7 linked regions of the Oryctolagus cuniculus genome follow. The protein of the gene in region 3 interacts with the protein of the main gene of each other region in a biochemical or structural test. Links are inferred from orthologs where the notes say so. Each region holds a gene or a part of one and is shown on either strand. Other genes may lie near its edges. The genes, in order: BTG2, KHDRBS1, PRMT1, FBL, UBAP2L, HABP4 and HNRNPA1.

The links.
Region 1: the proteins of PRMT1 (region 3) and BTG2 form a complex in vitro, tested with the Homo sapiens proteins (2 studies listed by BioGRID). The link is inferred for Oryctolagus cuniculus from reciprocal best matches to the Homo sapiens genes PRMT1 and BTG2.
Region 2: of the proteins of PRMT1 (region 3) and KHDRBS1, one has a biochemical effect on the other in vitro, tested with the Homo sapiens proteins (2 studies listed by BioGRID). The link is inferred for Oryctolagus cuniculus from reciprocal best matches to the Homo sapiens genes PRMT1 and KHDRBS1.
Region 4: of the proteins of PRMT1 (region 3) and FBL, one has a biochemical effect on the other in vitro, tested with the Homo sapiens proteins (2 studies listed by BioGRID). The link is inferred for Oryctolagus cuniculus from reciprocal best matches to the Homo sapiens genes PRMT1 and FBL.
Region 5: of the proteins of PRMT1 (region 3) and UBAP2L, one has a biochemical effect on the other in vitro, tested with the Homo sapiens proteins (2 studies listed by BioGRID, with this or other methods). The link is inferred for Oryctolagus cuniculus from reciprocal best matches to the Homo sapiens genes PRMT1 and UBAP2L.
Region 6: the proteins of PRMT1 (region 3) and HABP4 form a complex in vitro, tested with the Homo sapiens proteins (2 studies listed by BioGRID, with this or other methods). The link is inferred for Oryctolagus cuniculus from reciprocal best matches to the Homo sapiens genes PRMT1 and HABP4.
Region 7: of the proteins of PRMT1 (region 3) and HNRNPA1, one has a biochemical effect on the other in vitro, tested with the Homo sapiens proteins (3 studies listed by BioGRID, with this or other methods). The link is inferred for Oryctolagus cuniculus from reciprocal best matches to the Homo sapiens genes PRMT1 and HNRNPA1.

What each region holds. Positions count from the first base shown.
Region 1 is NC_091444.1:19,034,168-19,038,101, reverse strand, and holds the start of BTG2 (protein BTG2), read right to left. Parts: upstream 2,801-3,934; 5' UTR 2,460-2,800; coding exon 2,078-2,459; intron 1,138-2,077; coding exon 803-1,137; 3' UTR 1-802. UniProt on the Homo sapiens protein: Anti-proliferative protein; the function is mediated by association with deadenylase subunits of the CCR4-NOT complex. Activates mRNA deadenylation in a CNOT6 and CNOT7-dependent manner. In vitro can inhibit deadenylase activity of CNOT7 and CNOT8.
Region 2 is NC_091438.1:140,400,118-140,403,617, forward strand, and holds part of KHDRBS1 (KH domain-containing, RNA-binding, signal transduction-associated protein 1), read right to left. Parts: intron 1,098-3,500; coding exon 973-1,097; intron 155-972; coding exon 38-154; intron 1-37. UniProt on the Homo sapiens protein: Recruited and tyrosine phosphorylated by several receptor systems, for example the T-cell, leptin and insulin receptors. Once phosphorylated, functions as an adapter protein in signal transduction cascades by binding to SH2 and SH3 domain-containing proteins.
Region 3 is NC_091449.1:7,829,451-7,833,619, forward strand, and holds the start of PRMT1 (protein arginine N-methyltransferase 1), read right to left. Parts: upstream 2,801-4,169; 5' UTR 2,722-2,800; coding exon 2,686-2,721; intron 1,895-2,685; exon of another isoform or gene 1,723-1,894; intron 885-1,722; coding exon 831-884; exon of another isoform or gene 827-830; intron 530-826; exon of another isoform or gene 430-529; coding exon of another isoform or gene 427-429; intron 222-426; coding exon 120-221; intron 1-119. UniProt on the Homo sapiens protein: Arginine methyltransferase that methylates (mono and asymmetric dimethylation) the guanidino nitrogens of arginyl residues present in proteins such as ESR1, histone H2, H3 and H4, FMR1, ILF3, HNRNPA1, HNRNPD, NFATC2IP, SUPT5H, TAF15, EWS, HABP4, SERBP1, RBM15, FOXO1, CHTOP, MAP3K5/ASK1, MICU1 and NPRL2.
Region 4 is NC_091449.1:14,143,720-14,147,770, forward strand, and holds the start of FBL (rRNA 2'-O-methyltransferase fibrillarin), read left to right. Parts: upstream 1-1,251; 5' UTR 1,252-1,385; coding exon 1,386-1,395; intron 1,396-4,051.
Region 5 is NC_091438.1:44,138,999-44,142,498, forward strand, and holds part of UBAP2L (ubiquitin-associated protein 2-like), read right to left. Parts: intron 3,021-3,500; coding exon 2,966-3,020; intron 2,306-2,965; coding exon 2,131-2,305; intron 1,794-2,130; coding exon 1,721-1,793; intron 438-1,720; coding exon 242-437; intron 159-241; coding exon 70-158; intron 1-69. UniProt on the Homo sapiens protein: Recruits the ubiquitination machinery to RNA polymerase II for polyubiquitination, removal and degradation, when the transcription-coupled nucleotide excision repair (TC-NER) machinery fails to resolve DNA damage.
Region 6 is NC_091432.1:141,290,836-141,294,812, reverse strand, and holds the start of HABP4 (intracellular hyaluronan-binding protein 4), read left to right. Parts: upstream 1-1,177; 5' UTR 1,178-1,306; coding exon 1,307-1,691; intron 1,692-3,977. UniProt on the Homo sapiens protein: Ribosome-binding protein that promotes ribosome hibernation, a process during which ribosomes are stabilized in an inactive state and preserved from proteasomal degradation.
Region 7 is NC_091442.1:57,220,230-57,224,128, reverse strand, and holds the end of HNRNPA1 (heterogeneous nuclear ribonucleoprotein A1), read right to left. Parts: intron 3,706-3,899; coding exon 3,550-3,705; intron 3,340-3,549; coding exon 3,284-3,339; 3' UTR 3,274-3,283; intron 3,027-3,273; exon of another isoform or gene 2,331-3,026; intron 914-2,330; 3' UTR 501-913; downstream 1-500. UniProt on the Homo sapiens protein: Involved in the packaging of pre-mRNA into hnRNP particles, transport of poly(A) mRNA from the nucleus to the cytoplasm and modulation of splice site selection.

The sequences.
Region 1 (3,934 bases), on a different chromosome or scaffold from region 3:
GGTAGCAGCATCGGGGCTCTCGCGTGGTTCCAAAAAAAAAAAAGGGTTTTGGCCAAAAGACATCCTTAGTGGATACTCTTTGGGTCCCAAGATTCCATTGCAAGTCGGCCCCCAAAACACCTGCCACACGCACACACAAAGCAGCACAGAGCAAAGCAAAAGTTTTGTGCAGAGTTCCCTTCCACCCCCACCCCCTGGGACTTCCAATCCCCGCCTTACCCCTGGGGTGGGGGCTGTGGGGGTAGGGGGCAACTTCTACAGGCCCCTGAGGGTAGAATCTGAAACAGGAAGAGCTGCTAAGCCAGGAGAGGCCTTTTCACTCCCTGCCTAGAATCTCAACAGGAAAGTAAGAAGATCAGGCTACAGAGGATTGTTTAAGTCCAGGCTTGAATGCCCCTGAGTGAGAGCGGGGCCGGGGATGCAGGTGTCCTGGCGGGGAACGGGGAGGCTTGAACTTCACCCCTGTTCTCCCCCAGGGCAGACCCCAGCCCCCCACTTGTTCACAGTAGCTAACCTTGTTTGGGGTGCCAGCCTAACCTCCCCTCCCCCCACGGGCAGACACTGGCTCACAGACTCTGCAAAGGCACCTGGGGAGGCCGCTTCTAAGCAGCTCCCTTTAAGGATTTTTTTCTTAAAAAAATCTTTTGGTTGTTTTTTTTTCCTCCTCTTTTCTTAAAAAAAATAATATATATATAAATAGCTCTTCATGTAGAAACACAGTTCCCCAGGCTGAGGTATGCGGCGGCCGTGGTCACGGCAGGACGAGCACAGCCGCGTGCCGGGCCGGCGGCAGGGGCGACGTCTAGCTGGACACGGCCATCACGTAGTTCTTCGAGGGGCTGCTTCTGCCCAGCATCACCTGGTTCTTGCAGGTGAGAAGCCCACAGGAGGCAGCCACCGGGGCCTCCTCGTACAGGACGCAGATGGAGCCGTCCTCGCCGATGCGGTAGGACACCTCAAAGGGGTCCACCCACAGGGTCAGCTCGCTGGGCAGCAGCCGGTGCAGCTGGGGCTGGCTCAGTCCGGTCTGGCTGGCCACCTTGCTGATGATCGGGTCCATCTTGTGGTTGATGCGGATGCAGCGGTAGCCGGAGCCCTTGGACGGCTTTTCAGGAAACCAGTGGTGTCTGTAGTGCTCTGCGGAGACAGGACCGGGCTCAGGTTAGAGCTGCAGGGACATCGACCAGGGTGGAGGAGAGGAGGAGGGGAAGGGGCCCAGGGACCGCAAGCAGGACCCTCCAGAAACGGAGGCCCCTCCCTCTGCCAGGACAGGGGAGTGTGCCTGTGGCAGGGGGCGCCAGAGCGCTGGGGCTCTGTCCAGGGCCACAGCCAGTTTAAGGAGGGAGGGACGGGTGTGACTAGGGCTGGCATGTCCAGGCAGGGGCTCCAGAGGCTCAAGGCCAAGGAAGCTGCCAGCATTCTTGGGTCCAGAGAAAGTCATTGGGCCTCCCCTCTGGCCTAGTGGCCCCTTTGCTTCCTTTAGAAGAGACAGGGACAGTTAGCCCGGGGACAAGGAAGTGGAGATGGATTGTTTTGATGGACTGTGTTGTTCCTGGGCAGGCAGGATCTGTACCGCCCTCCAGCCCCAGCCTAGCGGGCGGCAAGGGAGCTGGGTCTCCTGCCCAGCCGGCAGCTAATCCTGTTCTCAAGTGCCCCTCACCCCCCAGGCCCGGCCACAGAGCGGAGGTCCTGGCTCCCGGCTCTCTCTACACCACAGTAGGTGGCAGATGGCTGAGACGGACCAAAGAGAAGACAAAGGGAGACCAGATCCCAACTTCCAGCGAGGCAACAACGGGAGAAGCCCCGAGGACTCCTTCTTCTCCACCACGGACCCCCCGTTTGACTGGCGGGGCTTCAGGTCTCAGGCGTTCCGCGACGGAGACGCGCCCCTACTCAGACTCACGGGTACCCCCTCTGCCCGCGCGCAAGCTGATCAGCTCCACGGTGTGAAGGGGCGCGCCCTGCCGGAAGACACGACACGGGGAGTCGGGGGAGGGCAACCGGGACCCCGAGAGCAGCGGGTGGTCGCCCCGGTGTGTGTGGTGGGGGGGGCGCCAGTACACTGGGCAGCGCTCACCTGTTAGTGCTTCCTGGAGCGCCCCGCTGAAAACCTTAAGCCTCTGCTCGCTCACGCAGCCCCGCGTCCTCAGGAGGCTGGAGAGGAAGCCCACAGCGGCGGCGATCTCCGGGACCATGTCGCTTCTCTGCCCGTGGCTCATGTCGTGCGCGGCGCCAGGAGCAGGGAGAGGTCTCCGCGGGACGTGCCGGGGAGCCAGCTTCGCCGTCTGGTCGCCGCTCGCACTCTGCGCGGACTTCCCCCGGGCCGCGAATTTCTTAGGGTTCCCGGGGGCGGGGCAATCGGGGGCGGCGCCCATTGGCGGCGGACGGGGGACGGGGGTGGGGTCCGTCGTGGCACCGCTCCGCCCCCGCCTCCGCCCCCTCGTCTGCGCTGAGGTCATCGCCCGCTGACGTCAGTGCTGGGAACCTGCGCCCGGCTCCGGAGCTGCGGCGAGCGGAGGAGCGAGCGAGGGCCGAGGAGGGAGGGGGCGCGAGCTCTCGGGGAAGGGAGGTGGCTCCCCGGGTGCTGCCCGCCGGACGTGTCCGGTCCTCGGCTCTCCGCCAGTCCGAGGCTTGGCTGGGTTTTAAGGCCCCCTCCTCCAGGAAGCCTTGGCGAGTGCCACGCCGCCCAAGCGGCCCTGCTGGGACTCCAGACGCGCTGTCCCGGCTCCGCGGCTGGGCTGCTTTTCCTCTCCGGTCGGAGTGGGGCTGAGCCACCTCTCTGCTCTGCCACCTGCCCCCAGCAAGGTCTGCGCCTCGTCCAGTCCCGCTTTCCCCGCGGGGGCCCGGAGTGGGCGGGCCGCGGGGCCTCTTTTGTGCCCCCGGGTTGTTTTCTCTCGTTCTGACTTTGCTCTCAGTGCCAGGCGTGTGGAGTGCGTGGTCCGCCCGCAGCTGTCCCTCGCGGGGGCCCTTGTGGGCCCTTGACAACCTCAGGCTCCGTCTCCCACAGCCGGTGAATGGGCTGAAGGCAGGAAGGTCCCCAACCTGGCACAGCCTGGCGCAGAGGCCGGCGCACGGCAAGGCGCCGTAACTTGTCCGAGGAACCAGGCCACTCACTCCAAGCCTTTCTCCCGCCCTTCTCCGACCCCGTGCCCTGCGGGCTGCGCTGGCTGCAGACCGTGCCGCCCGCTCCCGCTTGGTGCCCCCGCACCCCTACGCCTGTCTCCCTCTCTTTCCCCGGAGGGAGCCTGTTGACTTCTCACAGCGCACTCCTACACGGGCAGGGTCGTCCAGCCGCCACCACGCGGGCAGCCTGGGCCCCTGCCCCCTGCCAAGCCAGCTCCCTTTCTGGTCCTGGTTTCTCGTAGAAACCCTCATTCCCTGCCTTTTGCCCACAACACTCAGACGCTCCTGCGCTTTGCTGCTCATCAAGGACCCCCCTTCCTGAAGGGCCGGGTCGGCTTGCTGAGACCACTCTGGGACACTCCCTCCCGCATCTGTCTCCTGTACTGCTCTGCCTTTCATAATTTAGCCCATGTACCTCCACTGCCCATGCCAGGGTCACCTCTGCAGCCCAGGATCCGCACCTCTGCTCTGTCACTTGGTCCCCATTCCAGGTGTGCCCGAACATGCCTGGCCCTGCTGTCCTGTGGCTCCTGTCCTTGTCTCCTGGATCACTCACTGCCTCCTTCCCACTCCTTTTTTGTATTTAAAGATTTTATTTTTTTTATTTGAGAGTTAGAGTTACAGACAATGAGAAGAAGAGACAGGGAGAAAGGTCTTCCATTGGTTCATTTCCCAAATGGCCGCAAAGGCCAGAGCTGCGCTGATCCTAAGCCAGGAGCCAGGCGCCTCTCCCTGGTCTCCCACATGGCTGCAGAGGCCCAAGTACTTGGGCCATCCTCCACTGCTTTCCCAGGCCATAGCAGAGAGCTGA
Region 2 (3,500 bases), on a different chromosome or scaffold from region 3:
ACTAGGGCATCCTCTTGCCTCACTAATGTGAGCTTACCTTGGCTTTGTCTCTCATTGAACCCTTTCCCAACACAGAGATCTTTGCACCAGTCTCTTCCTGCAGCCTTTTTATTGTATTTCCTTGTGGTCCAAGAATCTTTCCAACAAAATTGAACTGACAGAAATAAAAGAGATTTCTAAATACATATGCTCCTATAAAAATTTCCACATATATTTGTGCTCTGCATTGATTTTCAACAACCCTGTAAAATAGGTAGAGTATTACCACTCCCAGTTTACTGAAGGATACCAAGATTGTGCTGATAAAGTGATTAGTCTAAGGTTACACATCAGAAAGTGGCAGTTCCTACACTTGGAAGTTGGGTTTCCTGATGGAAGCTGGTGCTCTGTCCATCACACACTCCAATTTGCAGTATTTTAGTATAAACATTTTAACATATAGCACATAACATTTTTAAGACAGTGACCTTACAACAGAACAGACATGTGACACTGTTTGGTACTATGTTTAGCTAACTAAATATAAATAATGTTGCTTTCCTTAAAAAGGAGAAAGAGGAGGAGAAGAAAGCAATGACTTAAACTTTGAGCAAGAAAATAAACTTCATTCAGTCAAGGATTTGTTTAACTATTTCATTTTATTTAGATTTCAGGTCAATCTTTTTGATGGTGAGAACTGCAGGGTTCAATTTTTTCCTTGGACCTGGAGCCTGCATGAACATTAAACACACACACACACACACACACACAACTCATTGATAATAACGAGATGATTTCATTTCCTTCCTGGCTTTAGCTATGCTATTAGTTATAGATGCAGATGTTCCAACCACCACAAACAGGTAGCGCAAGTAGGGAACAGCAGTTCCTCAGGCTCAAGTTTCTGACGTATCACCATCTTCAGAAATCCTTACTACAGCTAATGACGCCCATACCATAAAGAGATTTAAAGAGCGCACATTTTTCTCCTACCTTGGGATACTGCTTGACAGGAATCAGTACCCGCTCTTTCAGCTTCATGTTCTTATGAGAAAATAAATCCAAGTAATTCTCCTCATCATCCTTTTTTGAATCCCCTTTCTGAATCTTCTCAATTTCTGAATAGGAAAAACAGATTTTATTTTTGGTCTGGTAAATGAAGGCAAATTCCCAAATCTGCTAAAGCAATAACATGGAGTACCACGTAATGAAACCGAGGACTTCAGATGACCAATGTGCTAATTTCAGATAGACTGGCTCCAAGTGTCAAAGCTATATGAGGATGGCTAGGAAACCCAACGCCTGCTTCTACCAGCAGTTTCCTTTCCATCCTGATCTGAAGCCTCTGCACCAAAAACATACAAAATGTCCTGATTTAAGAGTAAGTAGAGGGACCAGTGCTGTGGCGTAGCAGGTAAAGCCGCTGCCTGTAGTGCCAGCATCCTATATGGGCGCTGGTTCTAGTCCCGGCTGCTCCACTTCCGATCCAGCTCTCTGCTATGGTCTGGGAAAGCAGCAGAAGATGGCCCAAGTCCCTGGGCCCCTGTACCTGTGTGGGAGACCCGGAGGAAGTTCTTGGCTACAGATCGGCACAGCTCTGGCCACTGCGGCCAATTGGGGAGTGAACCAGTGGATGGAAGACCTCTCTCTCTCTGCCTCTCCTTCTCTCTGTGAAACTCTCAAATAAATAAATCTTAAAAAAAAAAAAAAAAAAAAAGTAAATAATTTAACAAGACTAATGAGATGAGATAAGGACTAGGGGCATAAAGGAACTAAAAAATAAAAATCTTCACCAAGAAAAAATACGAAGTTGCACCCTGCTGAAGAAAGGAAACAGCAAGTTAAGCCCCCGCCCGCAGCGCTGGGCATTCCATATGGGCACTGGTTCTTATAGAAGCTGCTCAGCTTCTGTTTCAGCTCCCTGCCCATGGCCTGGGAAAAGCAGCAGAAGATGACCCAAGTCCTGAGGCTCTTGCCACCCATGTGGGAGAGCTACAAGAAGCTCCTGACTTCAGCCTAGCCCAGTCCTGGCTGTTGCTGCCACCTGGGGAGCGAACCAGCAGGAGGAAGATCTGTCTTTTAAATGAATAAATAAATCTTGGAGTGGGGGAAGCCAGTAATTTAAATATATATTTAACATTCCATTAAAATTCCATTATGACAGTAGTGATTTTGGATACTTGTCCTTAAAAGTTTGAAAGACCTGGTTCTTACTCTGCCACTCACTAGTTGTGTGAACTTAGATGTTATTTGACTGGCTGGCGCCACGGCTCACTAGGCTAATCCTCCGCCTAGCGGCACTGGCACACCAGGTTCTAGTCCCGGTCAGGGCGCCGGATTCTGTCCCAGTTGCCCCTCTTTCAGGCCAGCTCTCTGCTGTGGCCCGGGAGTGCAATGGAGGATGGCCCAAGTGCTTGGGCCCTGCACCCCATGGGAGACCAGGAGAAGCACCTGGCTCCTGCCATCGGATCAGCGCGGTACACCGGCCGCGGCGGCCAATGGAGGGTGAACCAACGGCAAAAGGAAGACCTTTCTCTCTGTTTCTCTCTCACTGTCCACTCTGCCTGTGTAAAAAAAAAAAAAAAGAAAAAGAAAAAAAGATGTTATTTGACTGCTTTGAATCTTGATTTCTGCATTTGTAAAACAGAGGCCATATCTACCTTATGAGGACAGATAAAGGCAGAGGAAAGTAACATATACAAATGCCTAATTAGTCTATTTCTTAGAAAGTGTTTAATATATAGTCACCTTCACCTAGTTCAAATTCAATGTCCTAAAAAAAAAAAAAAGCACCAAAGCACTTCTTTTTATCCACTTTACTGAGTTATAAATGACATACAAAGAACATTTAACACACACCATCCCATAAAAGCATCAGTTCCTGTTCTGGCTGCTCTACTTCTGATCCAGCTATCTGGTAATGGCCTAGGAAAATTAATGGCGGATGGCCTAAGTGTCTGGGCCCCTGCCACCTACATGGGTGACCCAAATAAAGCTCCTGGCTTGCGGCCATCTGGGAAGTAAACCAGCAGATGGAAGGTCTCTCTCTCTCTCTGTAACTCTTTCAAATAAATAAATAAATCTTTTTTTTTTTTTTTTTTTTTTTTTTGACAGGCAGAGTGGACAGTGAGAGAGAGAGAGAGAGAGAAAGGTCTTCCTTTTGCCGTTGGTTCACCCTCCAATGGCCGCCGCTGCAGCCGGCGCACCGCGCTGATCCGATGGCAGGAGCCAGGAGCCAGGTGCTTTTCCTGGTCTCCCATGGGGTGCAGGGCCCAAGCACCTGGGCCATCCTCCACTGCACTCCCTGGCCACAGCAGAGGGCTGGCCTGGAAGAGGGGCAACCGGGACAGAATCCGGCGCCCCAACCGGGACTAGAACCCGGTGTGCCGGCGCCGCAAGGTGGAGGATTAGCCTATTGAGCCACAGTGCCGGCCTAATAAATAAATCTTAAAAGAACAAAAAAACCTTAAGCACCCAGAAAATTTATCATGTTAAAGCTTTTTAAAAATTTATTTATTCTG
Region 3 (4,169 bases):
CTCCTGGCTGCGCCAACCCTAGCTCCTGCAGGCACTGGGGTGAGGGAACCAGCCGCTTCCGATAACATGAAGATATGCAAATATTCCTACGCACGCACAGGCCTCAGGGCCGCACTCACCTCGTGGATGCCGAAGTGGGCGTAGGAGTCAAAGTAGTAGTCTTTGGACGTCATGTCCTCGGCGTTGGGCTTCTCGCTGCCTTCGGCCTGGCCGCAGGACACCTGGCAGGGAGGGGACGGGGCACGGTTAGATCCAGGGGCTCCGCCTCCCCGCCTTTCCCTCAGGAGTGTTACCGAGACCCCCGAATCATAGCCGTGACGGCCCTGGAGTCCCCGCAGCCCCCACAACCTACGATCCCCGTTCGCCACGTCCAGGACCCCCCAGAGCACCGTCCAGGGGAGCGCCCGATGCCGCAGGCCCGCCTACCATCTCTCCAGTCTCTCTGCCCCCGTCTCTAGCTCAGCCCACAGCTGGGGAGGGGAGGGGAAGGGAAGGCAGGACTGGGGCAGACGCGGGGAAGGGCCAGGGGGTTGGAGATGGAGTTAAGGAAGCAGCCACGGAACCGGGGCCAGCAGGGGCCGTGACCCTGGAGGGGTTGGCACTAAGTGTGGCGGGGGCTTCTGGGGAAGCTGGTTTGAAGCCACAGGGACCACCGTGAGGCCTGTGGGAGGGGCCAGCCGTGTGGCGAGAGACTTGTGTGGAGCTGCAGGTGGGGGCGGGTCTCAGAGCGAGACAGACTGATGTGGAGGTGCGGGTGGGGGGCCGGCCGTGTGGGGAGATGGGTTTATGTGCAGGTGCGGGTGGGAGGGGTCTCACAAAAGGATATTTACGTCGTCAAGAGGCGGCTGGAGGCTCATCCCATTAGCCAAGGTGGCTACAAAATTCTAGGAGAGAGTACAGGGAGAGAGGATTAGCTACGGGAGAGGCCAGGGAGGGCCAGTCTCTGGGGAGTGGGATCCCTTCACTTTCCTGCTCCGGGCTGGGCGCTGTGAGGAGGGAGTCAGTGATGGGGCGGTGAGAAAGGGAGGGGAGAAGTGGAGGGAGAAGCGGGGTCTCCTATCCCAGCTGTGGCTGGAGAGATGGCGGCCTGCCCCCACCCCGGCCGAGGACCTGGCGTCCGCCGGGCACACGGGCAGCGCCAGCTGTCCCTCCTGCTCCTTGCCTAATCCCCCCAGATTAGGTGACGCTTCCTCACACCCCATCCCCGGTGCCCTGAATAGCTGGAGCGAGGGGGGCCGGCGGGGTGCGCCCCCAAGGCCTCCCGTGGGGCAGGATTCCAGAAAGAGGGCTGGGCACGCGGCCACCCCCAGCGCCAGCACCCCGGCTCCCGGCTCCCGCCGTGGCTTCAGGAAGCTCCACACAAAACCAGGAAGGGCAGGAGCCGGGAGGCCAGCCCCGCGAGGACGGCCCCACAGGTGGCCCGTCTCGGCCACCCAGACCCTGAAGCCCCCACGCGTGACTTCCGGGAAGTCACTTCCTCCACTCTCCCCAGGAGAGTCAAGGGGGCCCCGCGGGGCAGTGAGTGCTGCACCCCCATCCCGAGAACGCTACGAGGGGTGACAGTCCGCCACACCACACCTCTTCAGAGGGGCCAAGTCACAGGCCACGGCCCACCTGGCTCCAGGCCCTCTCCCCAAATTCTCCCAAGCCAGCGGTATCGAATACCACCCATGCGTGCCCCGTCCCGGGAGGGCTTGCAACCACCCAAACTGGAACCTTCACCCCATGGCTGCACAGGGCCGAAATCTCGCTGCAAACCAGGACCCTCCGTCAGGCCGGGCAAGGTCATCTCCCACGCTCGCACACGCGGGAACCCAGCGGGCACAGCTCACAGCCCGCGCGCGGTGCATTTCTCATCCCATCGCCTTCCCGGCCAACACTCTCCCTCCGCCCACCCTGGAGGGCTCCAACGGGGAGGTGGGCTTGCGGACACGCCCATGAAGAAGGTCCCTCCCACACGCCGAGAACTGGCCACCAGGGGGTGCGCGGCGCCCTATCGGGGAGATCTCCATCTAGGTGCCCCCCCACCGCACAGGGAGGTCACAGGGGCATGACCCATCCCCCAGCTCCCGAAGCCCCGGCCCGGGGAGAGCCCGGGGGCAGAGGAGGAGCTGGGGGGGCGCTGCAATTCTCCATCTCTCTCCCACGCCGCGCGGAGGTCCCTGGCCCCGTGTGCAGGGGGGACCAGCGCCGCCCCCCAAGACTCCTTCCGAGGGGCCGGTCAGCAGGCACACCCCACCCCAGCGCGTGCAACCCGGTCCCCGGGGAGCAGCCCTGGAGGGGCTCTGCGAGGGGGTCGGAGGCTCCCACCGGACCCCCTCCTCCGGGCGGGGGCGGGGCCTTTGTCCCGCACGTGGAGTCCGCCGGGCCACCGGGATCGGCACACCCCCTCCCCACCCACCGCGCCGCAGCCACGTGGGGGCCCGGCCGGAAGCGCCCCCGGCCCTCCTCCACGTGGGAGGGGGGATGAGCCCCTCGGCTCAGCCGGGTATCGAAGGCCCCAGAAAGCGAGGGAACCCCCCAACTCCAGCGATATCCTCAGATCCGGAGCATTCGCCGCTCCCTCCGCGCGGCCAGGGGCCCTTTTAGCCCCACTTCGGCGACTCAGAGCCCCCTCCCCACCGCGGGAGCGTAAAACGCCGACGCCAGGCCGCCCCCATCCCCGGCGGCGCTCCGGGCTCTCACCTCCATGATGCAGTTCGCGGCCTCGGCTGCCGCCATCTTCACCCGCACCTACTCCTCCTCCTCCTCCGGCAGCCGAGACCCCCCCCTTTCTCCTCACTCCCCCGGGACCGCCTTATACCGGAGGGTCGACGACACGCCTACCGCTACCGCGCTAGGAGATTTCATTGGCAACGGCGGCGGCCCGTCTGAAAATACCGTGTAGCAATTGGGTGCCGAAGACGCCCGTCAAAGGCCAGGGCCCTCCCAGTCTGGCGGTCACAGCCCCGCCCCCTTAAGTCGACTGGGATGGGAGAAGCTGCCTGTCCATCTCAAGAACCCCGTCTACTGATTGGACAAAGTTAACCAGGAGTGTCCGCCCAGCACCTCCTCAAAACTTCCCGGCGGTCCTCGCGCTAAGCGGACGTCTTGAAGCAGAGCTGTCCATCAACGAATTGACCCGCCACCTGATCGCTGCTATTGGCTAAGCCGGAAGGTGACGTCACCAGGCCTCTGGCTAGCTCTGGCCGAGCACGGCCCTCAAGGAGAACACGGCAATTGGCCCACGGGGAGCGAGCCAGGCCGGCCTTTCGGCACCAGCGATTGGCTCAGAGGAACTGCCGCTCATCGTCCGTCCGGTGGGTCCTGGCAGCTCGAGGGGAGTCCTGCAGGAGCCGGGGAGCCTGTGCCCGTTCACCCGGGGACAGGAACGGACGCAGCGCGAGGCCCCGAGGCAGGGAGGGCTTGATGGGAGCCAGGCGTGGACGCCTGTCACCCGCGCCCCGTCCTTAACGGCGCCAAGTCTGGGACCCAGCAGCCCCCTCTGGGCCGCCGGGCCTTCGCCACGTCCCGCCTCCTGCCAGGAACGCCCTCCTCCCTTTGTCTGGCCGGCACCCAGCGGTCAGTGCGGGCGTCCGGCCGCTGCCGCCTCCGGGAAGCCCTCCCGGATCTACACGCAGGCACGCAGTGGAGGCTAATGCCGGGCGCTGAGTGCGTGCACCCCGCCGCAGTCCTCGGGCCGGCGCCTTTCCACGCCCCGGCGGGCTTCCCGCCCGGTCCACTCGAGCACAGGGAGGTTCCCTGGATGACCTATCAGCTCGCCTCCCGCTCTCCAGGGCTCCCCGCGTCCGAGCACCGGGCCCCCGCCCCTGCCTCCCACCCGCTCCCTAGCACCCCCGAGGGCAGAGGCGGAGAGCGCGAGCGAGCACACTCCCACTGCCTGGGTCTCCGCCCCAGATGTCCCACAAAGGCCAGGCCCAGAAGCTGGGCGCCTGGAGCTCCGTCCCGGCCTCCCACGTGGGTGGGGGGCCCAGCTGCTGCGGTTTAGTAGGGACCTGGAGCTGGAGCCAGGCATAGAGGGCGGGATGTAGGGGCCTCGTCGGTTAGGCTGAAAGCCCGCCCCTCAGATTTAAATGAATGTAGCCCCTCCCCCAGCACGCCATTGCTTAGAGGGAGAATCGCTCGGGGAGGGGGGGGGCAAGGCGGTGTTTCCATCTCAGAAAGTAGAA
Region 4 (4,051 bases), about 6.3 Mb from region 3:
AGGAGGTTCCCGTGGGTGCATTCAGCAACTTCTCCCAGCAGCAACGCTGCTTTGCTCCGTGGGACGCATATTAGTATCACAAAAGTGCACGGCACAGTGTTCTCAATACTTCACGCAGGAGCCCTCCTCACCCCTCCCTGCCCACACGCTGCTGTGGTCCAACCTTGGCTCCTGCCTGGTCGCTTCTCATTCTTCTGTTCCCGCCGTCACCCCCACCGTGGCCTGAGTGACCCATGTCTGATGGAGCCCCTTCTCTGCTTAGGTCCCTGCCATGGCACCGTCTCCCTCGGGGTAAAAGCACAGAGGCCCTACACATACAGTCTGCCCTGCTGCTTCCCTGCCCGGGGCCCCTCCCACCCTCCCCTGGTTCACTCTGCCCCGGCCACACTCACCACTGTGTCTCCAGCACTCCCGAGCCTTCCTTTGTCCCTGAAAAGTGGGAGCCTCACACTTGGAGCTCATTTCTCAGAAGTCCCATATGGACTTCTAGCCACCACCGTGTGTTGCTGACTTGATGTTTTCCCCATTAAAGGATGAGGTCCGGGCCGGCCCTGTAGCAGTAGCAGGTAAAGCCGTCGCTGCATCCCATATGGGCGCCAGTTCGAGTCACTACCCTGCTCCCTGCTAATGCACCTGGCAAAGCAGCGGAGGAGGGCCCAAGTGCTTGGACCCCTGTACCCACGTGGGAGACCTGGCAGAAGCTCCTGGCTTCAGTCTGGCCCATTTGGGGAGTGGACCAGCGGAAGGAAGATCTCTGTCTCTCCCTCTCTTTCTGTATCTCTGCTTTTCAAATCCATAAAATAAATCTTGGAATAAAATAAACAAAAGACGAGCTCCAGGAGGGCGGCAGTTTCTCTGTTTTGTTCGCTGCTGAATTCCCAGCGCCTGGCGCATACAAGAGGCACCCTACATGCTGTTTGTGCCAATACAAATGAGAACCCAGAGTACAGCCCTGGTCTCAGGGGTGGAATTGGGTAAAGAACGGTTTTATGGTTCTTAGAGGGGGCCTCAGGGATGTAGCTAGGAAGACACAAGAGGGGCAGGGGGCACAGCCTGTGCGAAGTAGTCCCGATCGCTGGGATCCTTGCACCGGAGAAGAGGAAGCGAAGACAGGTTGAGCGCGGCCGCGACACCTGGGCGCGCAAAGCCCGGGAAGCGCAGAGCGCGGAGGGGGCGGAGCCCGGGACTCGGGAAATCCCCGCCCACTGCGCGCGCGCAGAGCGCCGGGCGGGGCAGGGAGCCCGGGAGCCCGGGGGCGGGGCTGCGTGACGCGTCATGCGCCGTACGTCGCCGCGCGCCTGCGCTCCTTTCCACGTGCGGCAGCCCCAGACTCGTGCGTTCAGGGACGCCGCAGATTCCCCAGACGGCGCAACTGGTAGCTCGCCATGAAGCCAGGTGCAGGCTGGGGTTGGGGTCGCGGGCTGGGGACTGGGCTCCGGAAGGAATGTGGGTACCAGGCCGGAATCGGAGGGGCAGGGTCCTGGCCTGCAGGCTGGCGTTCCGAGCCCGGGAGCCGATCTCGTGTGGAGAGGAGGGCGGGGGGGGGGGGGCGGTCCTGCTCCCAACCTGGGGTCGATCCTGAGCCCTGGGGGTTTGGGGAATTCTGGCTGGCTTCGGGGGTCGCGGCCGTGAGTCAGAAGCTTTGGTTTGAGGTTAGCGTTCCTGGCCCAGGGTTCGTCTCGCGGAAGCCGTCTTTAGGAAGAGATTTTTGGCTCTTGGGTCTGGGCAGCCCTCGGGGGGCTCGGACCTAGAGCCTGGATCCAGGTCTCTGAGGTCTTGGGTCCCTGGGCGTGGGTTTGGGTCGGACACCGAGAGTGCCTGGTCTTGGGGCTGGCAGCAGGGTCGGGAGGCCCCCGTTGCCGCCCCTTGGCTGCCGCCACCACCATCGTTAGCAGCCCCTGGCCCTGTTGAAGCCGCTCCCTGCGCTTCCGGGGGGCTGCCCCCGGCGATGGAGTGGGTTTCTAGAAGCCCGCCCTTGGCAGGGGTGTGGGGCTGCTCAGCCCCGATGGCGGGAGGATGTGACTCCTGGTTTTGACAGGAGCAGGGCCTCGGTTCAGTGTTCGAATCCTGGCCCCGCTTCTTCGTTCGCCGTGTATGTGACCTTGAACAAGTGATTTTACCGGTTTTTGCATCAATAATATGGCACCTGGTTACTATTACGGGAGATCATTTTTTTTTTTTTAACTTGACAGTTATAGACAGTGAGAGAGAGAGAGAAAGATCTTCCTTCTGTTGGTTCTCCCCCCAAATAGCCACCAGGACCGGCACTGCGCCGATCCGAAGCCAGGAGCCAGGAGCTTCCTCCTGGTCTCCCATGGGGTGCAGGGCCCAAGCACTTGGGCCATCCTCCACTGCACTCCCGGGGCACAGCAGGACTGGAAGAGGAGCAACCGGGACTAGAACCGGGCGCCCATATGGGGTGCCAGCGCTGCAGGCAGAGGATTAACCAAGTGAGCCATGGCACTGGCCCCAAGGGAGATGATGTTTTAAAAACAATTAGCCCAATACTGGCCATATAGATAACAGGTTCAGGTTGCTTCTCAAGGGAAACAAAATGAGGGTCCTTCTGCCCAACCCCCACAATCGTTCTGTTTGAGAACTTGCTGCACAGAGTTTGGGAAGTTTTCCACTGTGGCCGAAAGGGTCTGAGTTTCCCTGTGTGTGTGGAGATGGGGGTCGTGGGGGGGTTGGGGGAAGCTTGTGGATCCATGCCCTCCTCCTGAGCCTCGTTCCCTTGGGTGTCTCCTGATGAAGTGGGGTGGATGCTACGCTGTAGATCTCTCCTCCTGGGAACCTGGCATGCCTGCAGGCCTCGAGCCACCTGAGATTCCCCCAGGGACAGAGGGAGCAGCCTCTCCCTCCCAGCTTTGCCGCATGCTGTGATAGGATGGGAAGCCTCTGGGAGATTCTGAGCAGGATGCCGTGCGGTCTGATAGACAGCTTTCTTTCTTTTATTAAGATTTATTTATTTATTTGAAAGGCAGAATTGCAGGGGCGGGGAGAGGTCTTCCATCTGTTGGTTCACTCCCCAGTTGACTGCAGCAGTTGGAGCTGTGCCAATCCGGAACCAGGAGCTTTTTCTCTGGTCTCCCATGTGGGTGCAGGGGCCCAAGCACTTGGGCCATCTTCTGCTGCCTTCCCAGGCCATAGCAGAGAGCTGGTTTGGAAGTGGAGCAGCTGGGACTTGCGCCGGCGCCCATATGGGATGCCTACACGGCAGGTGTTGGCTTTACCTACTGCACCCTGATTGACATCTTGAAGAGGGGCCCTCTGTGTAAACTGGGCCTTAGGGGAGCAGAGTGGCTGCAGGCACGTCGGTGGCAGGCGTGTCGCTGAAACCTGGTGACGCAGTTCGGACCAAGATGGCAGCAGTGGACCTGCTGACAAATGGATGACCTGGGGATGTGTTTTGGAAATAGCACCAGTCGACTGTGTGGATGTGAGAGAGGAATTGGAAGGATGGAGCTGGCCCTGTGGGTGAGGAAGACGGCGGTGGGGGCAGTTTTGGAAGCAGGGAGTCTGTGGGCTGTGCGCCCGAAGCTTCCCTGGGAGTCAGAGTCGGTGGCTTCTGGTGCACGAGCCGCAAGGCCGGCGATGGATTAGCGACGAGTTGAGTTTTCAGGCACAGTTCACGCTCACGACCCTGTACCCAGTGCTCATGCCGGGCCTTCCCAGGGTCTCTGCTCTGTCAGGCCTCGGTTGTAGCTTTCCTCCTGAGCAGGAGGGAGTGGGGACTAATTACCCCAAGGCCAGGCCCTCAGTACGGCGCCTCCCAGCCTGGGCCCCATATCAGCATCTGTAAAAGTGCCCATGCTGGGGCAGGCATTCATGGCACAGCAGTTAAGATGCGTCCGTATCAGAGTGCCCGATTCGAGTCCCTGCTGCTCTGTTCTGATCCAGCTTTCTGCTAATGCCCACCCTGGGGGGCAACAGATGATGGCTCAAGTACTTGAGCCCTGCCACCCCCACGGAGACCTGGATTAAGTTCTAGGTTCTTGAGGCCAGGGTTGTGGCACAGCAGGGTGAGCCCCAGCATCCCTTGTGGGAGCCG
Region 5 (3,500 bases), on a different chromosome or scaffold from region 3:
AGCCAGACACACAAAAGGAGTAGCCATACTACCCTCACCTCTTGGAGAAGACTATCCAGTGCCACTTACCGGGTAGGCATGTAACAGCCCTGGAGCCATGATATATGGATTAGGCAACAACGGCGGGACCCCAGGAGGGAGGTTGGGAGGAGCTTTTCCTAAAAGAGAAACTACATTTGATCTTGTCACACAATTACTCACCTCTAACCCAGAGGAATGCCATCCAGCTATGCAAGATTACCTGAAGTTGTAGCAACTGAGCTTCGCGTGGAGGCTGTGACGGTGGAGTTGCTGCCTAAGCTGAGGCCCAGGCTACTGCCACTGTTCAGACTAGAGGAGACACTGACCACAGGGGGAGGTGCAGAGACTGTGCTGGATGTGGTGGAAAAAGTGCTGGAGGAAGAATGGAGATTCGCCTCACTCTCCACACTTGTGTGCTTCAAAAAGCGGAGCAATGGAAGAGAGATGAAAATTAGCACCACAGGTAAGGAAGAATGCACAATCCCTTCTTCTGATATCATCATGTCAATTTTCCCAATTAAAACGGCTAAGGCAGAGCACCAAGGTGCCTGTATCTACCAAAGTAGCTGGAATCTCCAGTTACACATTCCTCAAGATTCAACTAGAAAGGATAGTATCAGAGACCCATTATACATCATCATCCTATTCAGGAAGACAGAAAAGTGTGTGAGACCAACACTGATTAGCAGTAAGGGGACAGAGATAATTAAGATCTGAGGTATGTGTCACAGCCTTCCCGTTCATGCTTTTCTTTACTAGTTCAGTCTAACAGATCAGCTTCTGGGCTAGAAAAGAGTACAGCCCTGACTTTAAACCTGAAATTGTGTATCTGACCAGAAAGAAATTCCTAATAAAGTCTTAGTCCTTATATATCTTCTCACAGATTTCTAGCAAACCTGACACCTTTATGCACAATGAGTCTTTCCTTTAAAACTCAGCCTAATTCCACCAATAACTGTTAAAATCACAGCAGTAAAACTCTTTGACAGAGACTTCTCACCAGGCATCTAAATTCTTAAGGATATCAAGATTCATGATGATTACTTTCAGGACTTGTGTTCACTATACTCCAGTTTCAGTTCAAGAATGACAGGGAAATGATCCTTTTTTAATAATAATAATAAATATTTATTTGATAGAGAGAAGAGAGAGAGAGGTCTTCTAACCACTGGTTCACTACCCCACATATGGCTGCAATGGCTGGAGCGGGGCCAATCTGAAGCCAGGAGCCAGGAGCTTCCTCCCGGTCTCCCACATCAGTGACAGGGACCCAAGGACTTGGGCTATCTTACACTGCTTTCCCAGGCCATAAGCAGAGAGCTGGATTGGAAGTGGAGCAGCCAAGACTCGAACTAATGCTCAAATGGGTTGCCATCACTGCAGGTGGTGGTTCTACTTGCTGTGCCACAGCACCAGTCCCGGAAATGGTCCTTCTTACAAAAATTACTTGAGCATAGAAAGCCCCATCTACCTTCAGAGTTGAGCAAAGTCAATCACTTCCAGGGCTCTGCAGTACTTCTAGATTCATCAGACTCTCTTGACTTCCCAACACCCCTTTTTTACTCCTTTTCCTGCAACCTCAGACCAATTATCATTTTATCACCCCATGAAGAAACATTCAAGAATTCCCTCTTAGGAGAATTTCAGTGTTGGATAGTTATAGCTTTAAGAAAACCACAGTCCTCGGTGCCATACTTACCAAAAGAGTGGATGTTGAAGTCCGTCCAGAAGATGTTGATGAGGAAAGGGTATTCTGCTGTGTAGATAACGTGCTGTAAAGACAGAAAAGAGCTGTTCATCAGCCACAGTGCTCAAGTGACCTTGAGCTTCAGTCCAACACAAGCAAGGAACTGAAGCCAGAATATGGGACCAAAAAGGTCTTAGATCATATGGTAAGCACAGTAAACAGGCAGGGTAGTGAGCCACTAAAGCTAAAGCAGCTATTGCATTGGGAAAATAAAATAGGTCTTTTTAGCCTTCACTTTTCACAGTACTCAGGCTATCCACTTACTTAATATGGTCTCTATCAAGCAAGGGGGATAAGAGAATAAGAGAGCTCTGTTTTGATACTCAACTAACCCCAACCTCCATCCTCTCACCCCAAGTTACCTGCTGTGTTGTGTGGTGGTGGTATTTGGAATCTCCTCACTATGGCTCAAGCCACCCAAGGAGGACGAGTGCTGATTGGTTGTCGTCAGTAAGGAAGCTGCAGATACCGTTTCATTGAGAGGGGGGATGGTAGAAGTGGAAGGTGAATCAGATTTCACTGCAGAGCCTGTAGCACCTGGAAATAAAGAAGAACTTCATCAAATGAAGAGGTAGCTACAGGCGTGGGCTACCCCAACGACAGGAGTGTGAGTCATTTAATAATGAAGTATTTGAATTACAAAGGTTTTTTTTTTTTTTGGAAAGGCAAAGTTGACAGATCTCTTCCATCAGTTGGTTCATTCCCCAAATGGCCACAATGGCCAAGCCAAAGCCAGGAACCTGTAACTCTACCTGGGTCTCCCACACGGGCGGTAGGGCCTAAGTATTTGGACCATTCTCTACTGCTTTCCCAGACACACTAGCAGGAAGGTGGATCAGTAGCAGAGTAGCTGGGATTCAGAATGGCAACCTGATACGGAATGCTGGCATTTCAGGCAGTGACTTAATGCACTGAGCCACAAAGCTGGCCCCAGGTAGAATCTTTTGAAACTCCATGCATTTCATAGCATGAATTTTAATTGCCTAATGAAAGAAACCAATGAAATTATCTGCTTTACAGACAGAAAACCTGAAAAGTTTAGATGATTTCACATTAAACAGTAAAGCACAACCAAACTAAGATTATAGCAGATGTTTCAACCATGTCAGAGCTTTTTTTGACAACCTAAGAAATGCGAAAATATTAACAGGAGAAAAAGCACTGTAATTTAGAGGAAAAAGCTCAGAGAACACTCACCTTCAACAGATTGCGTAGTCTGTAACTGCGTGGCCTGCACCGAACTGAAGCCATTCTGGTACAAGAAACAGAGGAGCAAGAACAAACTCATTTGAATGGGGCAAGTTAGCACTGACCCAGCTTAATTTTGGTGATACAAACAAACAAACAAACAAAAACACCTTTGGGAGAAACTCTGCAAGGTAACAAAAGGATTAATAAAATGTAAACTATCCAAAGAAACAAAATAAAAAATTAAAACCCAAACCAGTTACCCCATCCCTGTATCCTAGAAGGCAATCCCCAAAACTGCTAATGACACCCCAAATCCAAACAGATACCAGAAAGGTCCAAAATTCAAATCCAGTGATCCTTGCAGGAGAATGTGGGAGTACATCAGTTCAGCGAAAACACCCATGCATGCTGGCTGTACTTGACAATCACTCCACATCACCTCTGATATGCTGTCCCCTCACCAAGTCAAAACAGAGCAAGGTGAGGTCTTTTGATATGCACTCAGAAGGCTAGCAACCAGATCTTCCAAGAAGAGATGACA
Region 6 (3,977 bases), on a different chromosome or scaffold from region 3:
AAGCTGTCTGTGTTGGTGACCAGGTGAGATGTCTTGGACGAAGTCCAGCCCAGCATTCTCCTGGGCCTCCGGGTTTCAACCGAATATCTCAAAAGAAACAAAACCCCAAACACAACATGTCCAACATGGGTTCTTTGGCTTTTTTTTTTTTTTTTTTATCTACTTGAAAGTCAGAGATAGAGACAGAAAGAGATTTGCCATCTGCTCGTTTACTTCCCGAATGCTCAGAGCAGCTGAGGCTGGACCAGATGGAAGCCGGGAGCCAGGAATTCAATGCAGGTCTCCTACGTGGGTAGCAGAGATCCGGCTACTTGAGGGGCATCACCTGCTAGCTCCTAGGGTGCGCATGAGCAGGACCCAAATCAGGCTCTCTGACGGAGCATGTGGGCGTCCCACGTGTCGTCTCCACTGCTCAGGCTCCATGCTCGCCCCTGGGACTGAGCCCCTAATTGTCATCCAAGTGTTCCATCCCGGGACTCTATTTCTTTGTGATTAGCACTACCGTTCCAGAAAAAACAGGAGTCCTCATGTTCTCCCTCCTCAGCGCCCACACCCAGGGCACCCCCACGTCCGGCCGGCAGAAACCCCCATTCCTCGGCTCTGGACTCCACTCTTGGCACCTCCGCGGCCACCGCGTCACTATCCCTGCGGGTTCCACCTCCAGCCCCTCTATCGCAGCCAGGAAGGCCTCTTCAAACCCAAACCTGCTCGTGTTCAAAGCCGGTTTCCCACGGCTCTTGCAATAAGGACCGACACGAGCAGTAGCCCTGGCGTCTGGGCGGGGACCCCCCCTTCTCCCTCGGCCGAGCCGGCATCGCCTAAGGAAAGCCTTTCCCGGCTTCCCCATCGTCGGGTCACGAAGCTTCAACCAAGAGAGGAAAACAAGAAACACGGACCCACTCGCCGGGAAAACACGCGTGCCGGCCGCTGTCCGCCCGCCCGCCGCGCCACCACTGATTCTCTTCACAGGTTTCTCCTCACAGGAGCCCCGCCCCTGGCTCCGCCCCCCGCGCCCGGCCGGAGGGGGCGGGGCACACGCGTCGCGTGACGTGACAGCAGCCGGCCTGTGATTGGGCTTCCGGATGCAAAGGCTGGGGGGAAAGGGGCGTGTCCGCACACGCTGATTGGCTATCGGGCGCCGGCTGGGCGGGCGGCGGCGGCGCCGGGGCGGGCACCGGGAGGGACGGGACCGGGTAGGGCAGGGAGGGCGGTGGCGGAGGCGGGCAGGATGGGTCTTCGCTGCCGTCTTCGCTGAGACTCGATCGCGTGGGCTGCCCGCGGCGGGGCCACAGGCGGCCGCGGCGGCATGAAGGGCGCTCTGGGGAGCCCCGTGGCCGCAGCCGCCGCCGCCGCGATGCAGGAGAGTTTCGGCTGCGTCGTGGCCAACCGCTTCCATCAGCTGCTGGACGACGAGTCGGACCCGTTCGACATCCTGCGCGAGGCCGAGCGCCGGCGCCAGCAGCAGCTGCAGCGCAAGAGGCGCGACGAGGCGGCGGCGGCGGCGGCGGCAGCAGCAGCAGCTGCGGCGGCGGCCGGAGCCGGCGGCCGTGGGGGCCGGAGCGCGGCCGGGGCCTCGGGCCACAGACCCGGCGCGGGCGGCGGGCGCAGGGAGTCCCAGAAGGAGCGCAAGAGCCTCCCGGCCCCCGGCGCTCAGCAGCCAGACAGCCCCGGCGGCGGCCCGCAGCCGCTCGGTACGCGCGTCCCTCCGGGGCTGGGGATGAAGGGGAAGGGGGTCACGGAGGTCACCGCTCCTCGACCCCCGTGGTGGGCCGGGGGTCTGGGAGAGACGAGTCAGGGTCGAGTTCAGAGTTCTGTGGCCTTGGCCGAGGGTCTGCGCTCCTCGGGCAGTTCTGGGGGTCGGCGGGCTAGTGCGGGCTGGCGGGGCTGGGGTCCGACGGGCTGGGCAGAGTTGGGGGTAGTGCCGGGGAAGCGTGTGGTGGGGTCGCTGCCTCCCGGCTCCCGAAGGTCGAGCGGGCAGCGGGGCGGGGGCCGGCGGAGGAGCCAGGGCGCCCCCTGACTCGGTGGTCGGGTGGCGCGGGAGCAAAGGCCCGGGTGGGCGCCCGCGCCCCGCGCCCCGCGCCTCTCCGCACGCACGTGGCTGCCGGGGGTCGGCGGCGGGGCTGGTGGCGCGGTGGCTCCCCCTCAGAACAGCAGCCTTCGCCAGCCGGTACCGGCCCGGTTCCCTGAGCGCGGCCCTGGCCTGCCTCGGGGCCCGGCGCCCTGGCCCGGGCCGCGTCACTGCCACTGTCCCCAAACCGGGGCTTGCTGAGAGCGGGCGGTTCCACCGCTCCAGCGTCTGTCCGTGCACCCCGGCTGGGGAGAGGACCTCCCGGTTAGAGTGTTAGGGCTGTGACCTCTGCGACCAGGTAGTGTTTACCTGCGTCTGGGAAGTTGAGCCCAGGAGCCCCAGTCGAGAACCAGAAAGTCGAGTCATTACAGCAAAGATGTTGGAAAGCTTAAGAAATGCTGCCTGCCCGTGCTAGGCCGGTAAATGTATAGGCTGCTTTGATCTGGGAGGTTGAGATCCTGTTTGCGTTATGGCCTTTCTCTTAAGTAAATATAATGGCAGTTGGAGAATCCAGCAAGGCTAGGCTTTCCGCTCCCTGCTTATCCTGTAGAAGGATGTCAAAGTGCAGTGCGTGCGGTCAGTATGTTCATCTTTAGCCCTGTAACAAAATGCCCTGCATTTGTGTTACAAAAATGTTAAAACAGTTCCCGCATGAATGAGGTGAAGTGAACATCCTCTTTTTCCCGTTGCTGGCACTTTCTGTTTGTATACATACATGCATAGCACTATTTTTTTTTCTAAATTTAAAATATCTGATGGAAACTGGGTTGCAACCTACTTCTTTTGCTTGACATTGTAATCACCTGTAACGTTTTTCTGTCAGTTCGTGGTACAAGTGCTCTGACTGTTGAGGTCCAATATTAGAGATATGTAGTTGACTTTTTTGGTTAGAATGAAAATTTTTTTAAAGATTTATTTTATTTATTGGAAAGACAAAGTTGTAGAGAGAGGTAGAGACAGAGAGAGAGATCTTCCATCTGCTGGTTCACTCCCCAGATGGCCGCAATAGCCAGAGCTGCACCAATCCGAAGCCAGGAGCCAGAAGCCTCTTCTTGGTCTCCCACGTGGGTGCAGGGGCCCAAGCCTGGGCCATGCTCTACTGCTTTCCCAGGCCACAGCAGAGAGCTGGATTGGAAGAGGAGCAGCCGGGACTAGAACCTGTACCCATATGGGATGCTGACGCTTCAGGCCAGGGTGTCAACCCACTGCGCCACAGCGCCAGCCCTAGAATGAAAATCTTGTCATTCTAGGTTTTTTTTTTTTTCCCCAGTATGTTATTTCAGGAGCAAATATCTCATTAATTTCTGCTTATGTAGTTACTGTGCTAAATCTGTCTGCAATTAGTGCTGGGGAGCTTCTCTCTCAAGGTTTTACAGTCCTAATTGGTATGAAGGACTAAGCTTTTCCAACAGGCAAGATTTTAAATTTGGTAAGAATGTCACGAGTACTTAGTGTAGACAAAAACCAAGCAGCTTCGATAGATAATGGAAATGTTTATTAATCTCACAAAAGTGTATCATAAGATTTTCCCCCATGGTTTTTAGAGTCTGTGACTATCTAACAATGTACATAAATCCTGTGGCAAGCCTTGCTCTGTAAATTCCTTCTTGAAGCGGTCAGAAGCTAAATGAATCAGCTCTGCTTTTCCTAGAGCTGAAGTTCAGCTTCATTTAGTAGGAAACCTTACTGCAAATGTTGTTGCATTCTGTTGTTGCATATGAACTTGGGTTTAGATCAGTGGTCAAACTGCGTGTGCCAGCCTTTTATTGGAAAGGGTGGTGAAGTGCAGTGTTTGCATTATCTGCTTGGAGCTGCTGATCCAGCACACAGACACAAGCTGGGTTCAGTGGCGGTCTTGATCTCTTGGGTCTAAATTGTGGAGGAAAAAACAACACTGGTTATCTTTGTT
Region 7 (3,899 bases), on a different chromosome or scaffold from region 3:
ACCATGATCCTGAATGCGGCAGTGTCAATGCAGCACACCGTCTCAGTCAGGAACCAACCCCCATTTAAAAGCTGCCATGTTGGGCAGCTTGTTCTGCCCCCAGAAGGGAAAGGCAGTCAGTTGATCTGAGACATGGAGTCAAGGCAACTGCCTGTGGCTGGTGCCACCACACAGCAAGTTAAAGCCCCAGTCTGTGGTGCTGGCATCCCACATCGTTGTGGTCCAAGTCCCAGTGGCTCCACTTCTAATCCAGTTCTCTGCTATGGTCTGGGAAAGCAGTGGAAGATGGCCAAGTCCTTGGGCCCCTGCACCTGCATGGGGGATCCAAGAGGCTCCAGGCTTTGGATTTTTACAGCTCTGGCTGTTGTAATCTGGAGAGCAAACCAGAATATGGAAGATCTTTCTCTGCCTCAATGTCTTACCAAGACCAGTTTATCACTGATATCCTACATTTTTGAATCCCTAATTTAAAATGGGAAAATAACATGAAGCAGACCAAGTATTTATAAAATGATTTATTATTCATAAAGCTCATTCACAAAATGGAATGAATAATTAGAGCTGCAAAACAGCTAGTATCAACTGCATAGCAGTGAGAAATGGAGTGGCTCAAAGGTTGTCCTCACAAGGATGTTCCTGCAAAGGAAAGAGAGGGGTGAAGTCGTTAACGCATTAGGACAGGGCTCTGTCATCAGCTAACTGCCACCACTGGGAATCTGGCTGCTTTGGTTATGGACAATTGGACCTTGTGCTTGGGTGTTGGTAATTCTCCCTTTGACTTTGGAAATATGGAGAACTCTTGGCTGGCCATTATTTTATAGAAACTTACCTTTCTAGCCATGGACAGGAGTTTCTGGGTTTAATTATAATTATTTTTTTAATAAGAGCTGATAAGCGTGTAGCAGATTCTTCCCTAGAAAAGTAAACAGCCTTTAGAACTGGCTCTTTTCGAAGACAGAGTCCCATCAAGCTAAACCACCCCCACCCACTAATGGTCCACCCACCCAGCCCTCCCCCCATTTTGGGAAGATTCCAATATATTAATTTGAGCCATTATTTCAAGGAAATGGGTAAAAGGACAGCAAATAAAATTAAAGGGCAAAAATAGATTATCACAGAATTAATTACTTTCTTCAATTAGGAGCCACCAATAGGGTGTCAATTTCTCCAGAAAAACCAAGTTCAGCTTAACTGGACTAGTTTTGGCTCAATATATTAAGGAAAATTTAACAGAATACTGGATTTTAGGTTAACTTTATGGATGTAAGTAAAATCTGTTCTTACCTACCAGCATAGCAATAAAACCTTTCCTCCTGGTTCTGACTGCTAGTCCTAAGAGTCAGGTGTGCCTTACTCTCGTCTGCCTCCTTTCTGGCGATGGTCACTCAAACTTCACTTCCTCCTAGCTTTCATGGAGGGTGCCGTGGCCTGCCCCTGGCTTATCTGTGCTCCACATACCACAAGTGTCTACTCTCAGCTGTAGAGTCTGAGCTCGGAGCCATTCGCGCTATGCTTGCTAGCAGTTCCTAGTAGCTGAACATCTCTCCTGGATCTTTAAAGGCATTGTCACGAATCCTGATGTATCTGCAAACTCCCTCAACAGTTAAAGGTTCCACCTGCTATTGCAAACTCAGCCAGTATCATGAACTACCGTCCACGCTCACCCACCCCCCACCACCTTCCACCCACCTCCCTCCCACCCTCCTCCCCAATGTTCCAACACACCCCTGGGATGGCATATACAGTCCTACTAGTAAACAATGATCTATACTACTAGATACAATGGCACTGAAATTAAAGAGGGTAGGCTTCAAAGAACCTATTTACAAATAACAATTATTGGGTATCCATGAACTATGAAAGGTTTAGAAATCATTATCTATATATACAATTAACACTTTCAGATGATTGTGTGGTCTTGTGTCATGTTTAAAGGAAAACTGCAGTTAATATGAAATTATACAGAAACATTTGTTCCTCCCACTTCATGGTTTTAATCCCCCCAACCAGTGTAATCAACATACATTTCCACAGACCGACCCACCCACACACCGACCCATGACCCAGCAGAACTGCAGTTTTCCTTTAATAAAAACCTGTTTATATTGAATTCAAGTCTTACTGGTACCGGTATTTTTTAAGAAATGTCTCTTAAAACACTTCTAAATCTTTGTGGACTTAATGGAGTGGAAGCATTAGCCAGCAGCTGGCTTCTATTCTCTGGCAGAGTTTTGAACTTGCATTGTGGTAGGATTCAACATTATCAGGGGTGGAGGGTAGGGAAAAGTCCAAATCTCTGCCAGTCCCAAATCCATACAGTTGTCATTCCATTCAAGAGAATTAAATCGTTTATTGATTACACATGATAATGGATGATACACAGCTTCATTCCCATCTGTAATTTTATCTGGTACCATTATTCAATTTAGATATATTGCAAAGGATGTGCCAACAATCATTCTTATAACCAAATAACCCCATGACTTTGCTTGGGTGGCTTTTAATGGTGAACTTCAGAAGGTCACAACAGTAACTCATGTATCTGAGAACAGCTTCTCCACCCGAGCATTTTGTAAATAAATCTCAAATGGAACCTGGCATCACCCTGATGAATTCTGACTTTACACTTTTTGGGGAAGTTTACCAAGATGGCTTCAGAGTAGACTAACTTTACACAGCACATTTAAAAAAAAGACACATTTATTCAGCGTCATGATCAGACTATTACATTTAGCAATCAACAGCATGGGTGCAAAAGAAAAAAAAAGAAAAAACTACATTAAAACCCTTTGTTGGAATGCTTTACACTTTCCACAGAACAGAAACTAAAATAACCTGTTATACAATTAGTCACAAATACAGTCCTCGAGTTTTTTTGCCCATACACATGAGTATTGTCTAAAACATGTCTTCTTTGTAGCAGCTAGGCCCTGCCACCACTGTGCTTGGCTGAGTTCACAAATCTGTTGTAACCTGTAGCTTCCCTGTCACTTCTCTGGCTCTCCTCTCCTGCTAAGCTTTGTTTCCTGTTGAACAATATGGAATAAAGTTGTTAATCTAAACATATTAAGACTCAAGGCTACAATCCAATATTAAGTTGTTTCCCACAAATTTTGCTCATCTGAATTATCAATATTATCTGAACTTAATACCCACAATTTTACTGCAATATTATAATGTTAACTATGCCACACTGCTTAGCTACATTAGGGTTTAGCAGCGATTATAAAAACTTAAAAAAAAAAGCACACACAAAAAAAGGTGTTTACTTACCTGGCAGTTATTAAAACCTTCTGCCACTGCCATAGCTGCTGCTGCTGCTAGAACCACCATAGCCACCTAGAACAAGATTGGGCCTTTTAACCTCTCAAGTGCCCACGGCAAAAGCCCTGCTTTCATGTTCAATGGGATGAGACAAGTTCAAACTTAGGAGTGACTATTTAACAGCCTTAGCGAAACCTGACAAGGGCAGCACCATCAGCTATGCACCCAACAAACCAACTCCTTTCCCTTTTACTTGCTCATCTCCCAGTTACATTCATACCATACCTTGATTTCGTGGTTTGGCAAAATATTGGCCGCCACCACCATAGGGGCCAGAGCTTCTGCCTCCAAAATTTCCTCCCTTCATGGGTCCAAAATTTGAAGATTGATTGTTGTAATTGCCAAAATCATTGTAGCCTCCGCTGCCTCCAAAATTGCTTCCTAGGGAACAGAAAGATGGCCTTTGTGTGTTACTTGAGAAGGTGACTGAGAGTACCCAATTCTGCTCAGTGTTCAGAATTAAAGCTTTTATTATCTGCCTGCTTCCTCCCAAACTCAGGTGGCTGCACATCTGCATTTTCATTCTCTGGACAAGGCATTCAGTTGAATAATCCAGAAGTTTTACAAAGCAACCC